Mus musculus: one gene and its partners. The protein of the gene in region 1 purifies or fractionates together with the protein of each later gene. This does not show direct contact. Links are inferred from orthologs where the notes say so. Each region holds a gene or a part of one and is shown in the gene's direction. Other genes may lie near its edges.

Region 1 (2,794 bases):
AAAAGAAAAAAATCACTAGTTAAAACGTGGACAAGGATGACATTTTTTGTTTGAAAATAGCAGTGCTTAGACAGCATTGCAGTGCAGAGTGCTGAAAGGAGAGAGCTGGTTGTGTAAACACATGCACTGTGGTCTGATTGTTTTGTCCTACAGCAGTGGTTCTCAACCTGTGGGTTGCAGTTCCTTTGAAGGTCATGTATGCTGCATATCAGCTGTTTACATTATGATTCATGACAAAAGCAAAATTACAGTCAGGAGTTGCCACAACATGAGGAACTGTATTAAAGGGGCTCAGCACTGGGAAGGTTGAGAACCACTGTCTGAGAAGCAGAAGAGAGCCAACAAGAGCTATATATGTCTGAGGATGGTGACACGGTTGAATCAGTTACTATGCTTCTCTAAACCTTTTCCTACTGTGCAAGCTGGCTTCTCTAATACTACTCTGAAACATGATTTGACTGTGTCAGATGCTAGGTTACATTCCTGCTATGTTTGTGCTAGTTGTTTTCAGTGGGGTCTGTGTGTGTTTCAGTAGAAAGGACGTGTAGGAAAGGATGCTAACAAGACCAAGGTCAGTACCTCAGGGTGGCAGGTCTGGCACAGAGTGCAGGCCTCTGTGTGCTTCCCCCAGAGCCCTGTCTGCTCTATTCAAGGTTGCTGGTGAAGAACCAGACGTTCAAGAACTTCTGGTATTAAAGACCGTGGGGATTTCCCTCCAGGGTACTGGGTTAAAAACTCCCAAGTTGTTTGAAGCAACTGACTTTTAACTCTCCTCATTACCTTGGCTTTTGCTCAATACAGATCAAAGGCACAGCTCTCCCCTTCTGTCAAGCGCAAGAGAGAAGTCAGCCCTCCTGGAGCTCGAACGAGAGGCCAGCAGAAAGTAGACGAAAACCCTCTGAAAAAGGCAAAGCGGTAATGGTGGCTCTAGCTTTCTGACTAACAACCCAGTGGAAAGAAAATGGACAAGCCTTGCCCCATGGCCTTTTTCTTTTTTTAAAACAAGAGAAGGATCTGCATGTGCTGTAAGTTCCTAGGTGCAAGCTTGTTCATTTTATGTTTTAAACAGCTTTACAAACCATTGTTCATGGACGGTATTATGTACATTCACTTCAGATAAAGGAAGATAAGTTTACTTTGTATCAGAACTCAGCAAAGTAGTTGTATATTTTAACAGCAGAAATTGGGGTTTCCAATGTGACACATCAAGAATGGAATCCTTCCAGCCCATCAGACACCAGGCTGCCCATGGGGATCTGTGTATAGTATATAAACATGTAAAAACAGGCTGTATTTTACTCAATGTATGATGCTAATCAATGAACACTTTATTTATTTTACAGAGAAATCTTATCTGTGAACTTTACTATATATCTGTTTATTTTATTTTATTAATTTTTTTTAATAAAAAGAGGGTTTTAAATGCTATGCAGTCATTAATAGAAGAGTTCTAGGACTCCGAGTGCCCTGTAACTATTAGCATATGGCCTGGCAGGAGACAGAAATTCACGCATGCATCCGAGTAAAGTAGGTTAGCTAAAGAACGGACTCTGCTGCTTCCGTCCAAGGCCGCGACTGTTTTGTCTTTCGATTACCCTTGCCCCTGTGGCTCTACCTGCCAGCCCCATTAACGTAAGTTACCTGGCCCAGGTAAAGCCACATCTTTCACTGCAGGCAGCAAGCTCTGTGGGTTCATTGTTTTCATCTGTGTTCACCCCAAGCCTCAGCCACCATCTCCATACTGTCTGTTCAGTGAAGAGAAGTGCTTGAAGATTCACTGCTCCAGGCTATTCAGCTTCAGGATGCCATGTTTTATACAGTTCTTTCGGGATAGAAACTGGTTTTATATATAGCCAGATTCTTTTTTAAACATGATTTAACTCCCATAATGAACAAACTGTCTGACTTAAGTTTTTCATAAAATAACATTTTCTTAAGATTGGATCTGTTTCTTGCAATGATATGATCAGTTGCCAAATGATTGAAATTTTAAATGCTCTGTTCATACTCTTGTTTTATAATTAAAATTTACATTCATTATGTGTAGGTTTTTTTATTGTTTGGGGTTATGATTTTTTTGTCTTTTTTTCATTGTCTTTTTTTAAATTTTGATTTTATTTTTTGTTTTGGCTCTTGTAAGGTGGATATTCTTGTCATTTTGCATTGTTTCTTACTGAAATTTTATATATAAATTATAAAATGTTTCCCTAAAACTTGAGTGACAAGAATTTTTTTCCCCATGTCTTAAAAGCCAATGCGGTTAGAAATGAGACTGAATCCCAATAATCATTTTTGCTAGAATAGCAGTGTTAAGTTGATTGGTACATGACTAGTGCACACCTGAGCACAATCTCATTGTGAAGCCATAGAGATTGAATTTTATCCGTGAGGAAAAGCTGCCTCCTAGTAAATATGGAGCCAAGCAGTAGAACTGCATCATTGTGCTCTGGTGGAGAAGCCCATCAGCTACCTCTTAGTAATTCCCAGTGGTTCTGAAGCCAAGGGTGACTAGAGAAATGACCCTGTGGGACAGGGGATGTTGCAAGTGTGAAGAAGAGCAGTTCACAGTCATGACTTGATGCTGATAGTATTAAGCAGAGTGGAGGAGCTCAGAGCATGAGCTATCCTCGTTTACATAGTAGTCCCAGAATCCTAAGGACTACTTGGCTCAGGGGCTTAAAGGTGTGTCCACGGTTAAGACCACTTGTTGCTCTTTTTAAAAGATTCAAGTCCCATCCCATACCTCCAATTCCAGGGAATCTGATGCCTTCTGGCCTCCAGCACGGAGAATGTT
Region 2 (2,600 bases), on another chromosome or scaffold:
CCCTGCCCAGATGTATGGTTACCTTGTGCTCAGGTAGAACAACCTCAGGAATAGTAGGGGGCAAGTGGGCATAGTCAGTCCTGAGACCAGTGTAGACAGGTGTGCAGACCCTGCTGGGTACCCACCAAGTGCCTTGTGCCCAGCAGAGCAAGGCTAAGATGCCTGTTACTATTCTGGCATTCTGAGCACTCCCCTGAACCCTGCGGTGCTCCCTGTGCTCCTGAGGGCAGTGAGGCATGTGCTGGGACTGCTTGTCCTAGAGTGGCTCCCTGACTACTCTCCTTTCAGATGTTGTGATTTCCACGGCTTGTCACCCGACAGAGAACATCATTGCCTCAGCAGCGTTAGAGAACGACAAAACAATCAAACTGTGGAAGAGTGACTGCTAAGTCCTGGCTCCATGGGAGACTTAAGGAAGCCACCCGGATTGGCAAGAAACACATGTGGGGCAGAGGCATGGGGCCAGGCTGGGTTGACAGGCCTGGTGCACCTCCTATCTGAAGATGTCGGCTCAGGGGAGTGCACACTACCGAGTCTTGATAGCCACTGTGATATTTCTTGCCAATTCTGTCTCTGCCTGGGGAAGTTCCTGGTCTGTTCTGTGCTCAGAGGCAACAAATTTTTAATTTTTTTATTACAAGAGTGAGTTCAGCTCCTCATGGGTTGTTTTTCTCTGTGGTTGTTGTTTTGGTATTGTATTGCCCAGTGCACACTGGAACAGGACCTACAGCCCTACTCCCATTCCCTGCCTCCTGCCCTGGCCTGCTTGTTCAATTTTCCTGCCTGTAATAGTACCCAGCGTGCTTCCATGAGTTTCTGGAAACACAGAAAGGTTGTAAGTTGTATCCGTGTCAAGTCCCTTTGTTCTTTTGGAGTTCATAGGTCAACACTGACCTCTCAGTGGTTGAAATGTCTCCTTGTCTCACTGGTATCACTCAGTAAGCTACACACACTGTAATAAAAGGTGGGTATGGACTGGGTGTGGCCCTGAGTTCTGACCAGGCTCTTTGACACCTGGCTTTATAAAGCCCTCCTCCCTTCCTGGCAGGAGTTGGAAAGGTCTCTGGGAGGATGGATCCTTGTTGTGCCTCTTCTTCCCAGTGGCTGCTGTGGGTGCTGAGTGTTGGAGAGGAAGAACCTCAGATGAGAAAGAGTGGAAGGAAGTCTTGGAAAGGCACCATGTAGTGAGGTTCTGGACCTCTTTATTCTGTGAGAGGCTCAGGGTCACCTGTGCAGGAGGGAGGAGTTCAATATGGTGCTTGCCCCAGCAGGTACAGCTTCCTGCCTTGGCCTCTAAACCCACCAAACCTCTCTTATGTCCTTGGCCCCCGCCCCAGGTCACCGCCTCAGGTGACCAGGACTGGAAAGAGGTAGTGGCCAAGCTCAGGACTACACAGCATTTTCACAACTGCTGCTGGCTGAACCCAGGGTGACCTACTGTGGAGCAGACTGCAGAGGTTCTGGGAGTACAGATGGGTGGCGGAGGCTGCTGGGCACAGACATGGGTGGAAAGGAGATTCTGGGTTTGCTCTGGTTGCAGCAGCAACCATCTGTGAGGCCAACACTGATGTGTATTGAAGCCACATCACCCAGGGCAGTAGCTGCTCTACTCTGCCTTTGCCAAGGCTTGTCCCCAGCTGTGGTCCTGACAGCCCTTTCTCCCTCCATCGTGCATAATAAGAATCCAAAGGTATTGGAAAAGAAACCCCATACATTGTCACTTCCTTGAGGGAGATGGTGTGTAAATGGGCTATCACATCGAAGAAGCCATTGTTAAAGAGGGTGGCTTGTCACACTGACATGGGCTCTGGGGCCCCTGGCGTCTGTTGGATAGATGAACCTGGGTTCTGGTCAATGTTGTGGGCATGTTGCTGGGGTTTCTGGAGGGTAGTAAGGTCCTTCCAGCTGTGGCCTGGTGTGCGGCCTCCTCCTGAGGGAGGGAGCTTGCTTGCCATGTCGAGCACAGTATCCCCGAGTATAGTTTATTTTTTCTACAGTTGAACTCTGTTGTAGATTTATGTAAAAATACATTCTCTTTTTAAAAATAAAGATTTTCATGCCTTGTAATTTTGTTCCATATAAGTTTGTTTTTTCCAGGAATTCATTCTGTGTGCATTCATTGGGTGTGTGGAGATCAGAGGATTACCTGTCATTCCCTCCCACTTGGTTGGCACTCAATAAGGATTTCTTTAGCAGAACAGGCAGTGGAGGAGCACACCTTTAGTTCCAGCACTCAGGAGGGTCTAAGTTCAAGCAAAGCCTGTCTGCGGAGCTAGTGCTAGGATTACACAAACCAAGGCTCAAATAACAACCAAAGGGAGAAAAAAAATTTTTTTTAAAGATTTATTTATTCATTATATGTAAGTACACTGTAGCTGTCTTCAGACACTCCAGAAGAGGGCGTCAGATCTCATTACGGGTGGTTGTGAGCCACCATGTGGTTGCTGGGATTTGAACTCAGGACCTCTTGAAGAGCAGTCAGTGCTCTCAAGTGCTAAGCCATCTGCTCAGCACAACCCCTCCCCAAAAAATTTGCTTTTCTTTTAGGTAATGTGCATATGTGTGATGGTTCATGTGTGTAGAGTGATGCCAGATAACTT
Region 3 (3,755 bases), on another chromosome or scaffold:
TTTTTTTTTTTTGAGACAGGGTTTCTCTGTGTAGCTCTGGCTGTCCTGGAACTCACTCTGTAGACCAGGCTGGCCTCCAACTCAGAAATCCACCTGCCTCAGCCTCCCAGGTCCTGGGATTAAAGACGTGTACCACCACTGCTCGGCTCAGAAGGAACATTTTAAAACTAGCCCAAGGGAGGTGTAACTAGGGTACTGGCCTAACACGCAGAAAGCCCTGAGTTAGATCTCCCAGCATGCTATAAACCGGTTATGGTGTGCACACCTGTAATTCCGGTACTCAGGAAATAGAGGCAAAAGGATCTGGAGTTCGAGGCCATCCTCCGTTATATAGCAAGTTCGATGTCATGCTGTCTGAAAAACAACAGGAGCCCGAATATAAAAGCGGGAAGGAACCGATCATTTCACTCTGTGCGTCGGTAGGCAAAGCGCCTGAGTCACCCCTCCTGGTTGTATTTTTCCACCTCCCACCCCTCCCAGGTTTTGGTGGATTCTAAGGGAAGCAGCCCGTTACGCCGGGCTCCGCACGCCTGGCCACGCCTCTCTCGTTAGCCCCGCCCACAACCGGATCGGCAGATTCGCTACCCGACTCCTTAGGATTATTTGGGCAGCTTTTCTTGTCTGAAAATTTTCAGGAAACGCCGAGAAGACTTCTTCCTTGTAACCATTTCGCACTAAGTAGGAAGTGTGCTGTTCCTTGAGTCGTTCTACTGAAAAAAAAAAAAATCCAGGACTAGAGGTCGACTCTGCCAACAGGGCTTGGCGAGCCAGGCGTCATTTTCTTGACTCTACAGCAGGTGAGAAGAGGTGACGGCCAAAGCCCAGGACGGTGGCGAATCTGCACTGCAGCCTCATAGGCATTCGGGCTGCGCAAGGAAGGGGCAGGGAAGAGGAGCCGAGGAGCGCGCATCCTGTCCACTCATTCGCCCCGCCCGCCTCGCGAATCTGCGTCGTTGGACGCGCCACTCAAATCTCCCGAGCTCTGGCTGGCGTCCTCCCCCTCGCTCCGCCCCCTTCCCTCAGGGGCTCGTCGCAGCTTTCGTCGCCGCCGATTCGCCAGGAACCCCAAGGCCGGAGCAGCTGGATCAGGGTGGTGCGGTCCACTCTCCGGGGAATGCGGCCCATCTTCAGGCTCCCTGGGCTACAACTCCCGAGCCTCGCAGGGCGCCGGCCGAGGCAAGGCCGCTACCCTCGGCCCCGTGGATCGCTCCGCAGTCCTTGTAGCGAAAGTGCGGATGCAGACGCTGTGCCCGCTGGGCCTCGCGCAGGTGGCGGTGGTGTTTGGTGCGCGCGCCGGGGAGGTGGTGGTGGGGGGGCGCCGCCGCCGCCACCGCTGCGGGGCCGGGTCTCGCGCTGCCGCCGCCGCCGCCGCCGCCTCACGCCGCTGAGGTGCTGCGCGCGGTGGGGGGAGGGTGAGCCGCTCGCCACGAGCGGGTGAGTAGGGCCCCGGCGCGCGTGCGCGCCGACGGGGTGGGGGGGGTGGACGACACCGAACGCGCCCGGGCGGGAGGAGAGGGCAGCGGCGCGCGTTACCTCCCCCCACCCCCCCGCCTGGATTCAGGGACCGAAGCTGGGTCTCAGATTCGGTCTCGCGGTGTTTCCAACGCCCCGAAGAGGTGCCACCTCTGGTTCGGAGGATCGGGGCGCGGGGACGCGAGCGGCTGTGTGGGAGCGGGAGCGGGGCTCGGCCCGGGCCGCTTGGCCGGTGAGGAGGCGGGAGGGGGCGGGGCCTGCGAGGGGACGGGGGAGGGGTCTTGCGTGGAGGCCAAGTGGGGCGCGCTGGGGAGAGCGGGAAGGTAAGGGGGCGCGAGATGGGCCTGGGCCCTGAGGGTAGAATTGGGGATGGAGAGGAATGGAGTGCCATAGTGAGCCCAGCTCCTCAGGGCAAGATCTGAGGGAGCCACGGGTCATGCTGAGGTGTCGGGGACTGGACTGATGTGAGACCCTGGAATCGGGGCTAGACATTGAGGGGACAGCAAGGGAGTCAGGCCTAAGTCGTGGACTCCCATTCCGTATCCCTCTTTTCCTGACAGTGTAAATGAGCAAAGATGGACCAGGAAGGTGGGGGAGACGGGCAGAAAGCCCCGAGCTTCCAGTGGCGGAACTACAAGCTCATAGTGGATCCTGCTTTGGACCCTGCTTTGCGCAGGCCTTCCCAGAAGGTGTACCGCTATGACGGAGTCCACTTCAGTGTCAGTGTGAGTGCCCTCGAGCCTTTCTTGACTTATTTGGACCTCCAATCTCCCCTCCCCGCTTCCCCCTGTTCAGTATTCAACACCCAGACTTCCTATACCTGTAGTTTGGTTTTTTGAGAATGAGCAAGCTCTCCCAGCTCTTCTGTATGTTGGCTTCTACATGGGCTTTATAGAGTCAGTAGGCTGGTGAATTTTCAGCCTGGTTTCATCTCTTCCTGCTTTCTTTGTTAGGACTCAAAGTATACCCCCGTGGAAGACCTCCAGGACCCCCGCTGTCATGTCAGGTCCAAAGCCAGAGACTTTTCCCTCCCGGTTCCTAAGTTTAAGGTGAGTGCCTGCTGGTCTCCCTGCATGTTGGTCCTTGGAGAGTGTCAAGGACCCTGGGCTTCACACAGTCTACCAAAGTGTTTATTCCGAAGGAACTATGACAGCCAGATCTCATTGCTTTTTGTGTCTGTGAGACTGAGATGTTTTGGACAGAAGGTATACATGTATAGCTGAGGTGACTCTAGTATATATCTGGTGACAAGGGTATTGATGTCTGGAAGGATGAGGTATGGGTGGGTATTCTGAAGCCTTGTGACAGTGGGATAGCCAAGTTATTCAGCAATTAAGGATGCTGCTAAGACCACTGTGCACTTGGAGTTGTGTGTTCTTGCTGTCATTGTGTGTGCTCCTCTGTCCTGTCTGTACGAGCAGCTTGCTTCCCTACTGTAATAAGATATTCTTCAAACTTCGGACTGTCTCGAAAATTGGTAGTTCTTTGTCTCCTCCTAATTTTGTTTTTGTTTTCTTTTACTGATTATTGGTAAAGTAAGTTGTGCAGTGGCTTCACCCTTCTGAATCCCCCCTTTCTTGAGCAGCTTTACTGAAAGCTCTTCTGTCTGAATGTTTATGTCTCATACCTCCTTCCTGCCAGCATCTACTGAGACACTAAAACATCATCTTTCTTCCCTGAGTCCTGCTCTCCTCACTTCCTCTTGACTGATGAATGGCAATACCAGGTACTCGGGTACCCAAGCTGGAAGCCTGGAGTCACCCAGTAGTTCTTTCCTTTCGTCTTAATCTTTAGGTTTCCATTGCCATGTTCTTCATGCAGAGTCCGATGTTTGCTCGCTTTCTGCAGCTTTCCTCAGTTTTAGGCTCCATCTTGCTGTTGTCACTGGTTTTAATGTTCTTATTTTAATTTTGTTTTCCAAGTCTGTTTTTCTTTTTTATTATATTATTTTTCATGTGTGTACATTCATAAATAAGCTTGCATGCCATTGTGCACATGTAGAAGTTAGAGCACAACTTGTGGGAATTGGTTTTCATCATGGGTCCTAGTGGTCAAACTCAAGGTTGTCAGGCTTGGTGACAAGTGTCTGTACCTACTGAGCCATATTGCTGGCATCCTAAGTCTGTTTTGAGGCATTGACATGTGTGGTTATTGATCTGGGCAGGCCTTATCACCTCTTTGACACCATATCCCTGTAATATTCCACCAGACACTTTTCAGTGTTTAGAAAATATCAAGATGGATAAATTTCATGTCTTGGAAGTTTGTTGTTTTGGTAAACT

Evidence for each region.
Region 2: the proteins of Bod1l (region 1) and Wdr5 purify together in Homo sapiens (affinity purification with mass spectrometry; 4 studies listed by BioGRID and IntAct, counting the BioPlex papers as one, with this or other methods). This does not show direct contact. The link is inferred for Mus musculus from reciprocal best matches to the Homo sapiens genes BOD1L1 and WDR5.
Region 3: the proteins of Bod1l (region 1) and Setd1a purify together in Homo sapiens (affinity purification with mass spectrometry; 3 studies listed by BioGRID and IntAct, with this or other methods). This does not show direct contact. The link is inferred for Mus musculus from reciprocal best matches to the Homo sapiens genes BOD1L1 and SETD1A.

The regions. Positions count from the first base shown.
Region 1 is NC_000071.6:41,786,957-41,789,750, reverse strand, and holds the end of Bod1l (biorientation of chromosomes in cell division protein 1-like 1), read left to right. Parts: intron 1-801; coding exon 802-919; 3' UTR 920-2,213; downstream 2,214-2,794. UniProt on the Homo sapiens protein: Component of the fork protection machinery required to protect stalled/damaged replication forks from uncontrolled DNA2-dependent resection.
Region 2 is NC_000068.7:27,534,469-27,537,068, forward strand, and holds the end of Wdr5 (WD repeat-containing protein 5), read left to right. Parts: intron 1-288; coding exon 289-389; 3' UTR 390-2,067; downstream 2,068-2,600.
Region 3 is NC_000073.6:127,776,080-127,779,834, forward strand, and holds the start of Setd1a (histone-lysine N-methyltransferase SETD1A), read left to right. Parts: upstream 1-1,309; 5' UTR 1,310-1,434; intron 1,435-2,033; 5' UTR 2,034-2,048; coding exon 2,049-2,198; intron 2,199-2,426; coding exon 2,427-2,522; intron 2,523-3,755. UniProt on the Homo sapiens protein: Histone methyltransferase that catalyzes methyl group transfer from S-adenosyl-L-methionine to the epsilon-amino group of 'Lys-4' of histone H3 (H3K4) via a non-processive mechanism.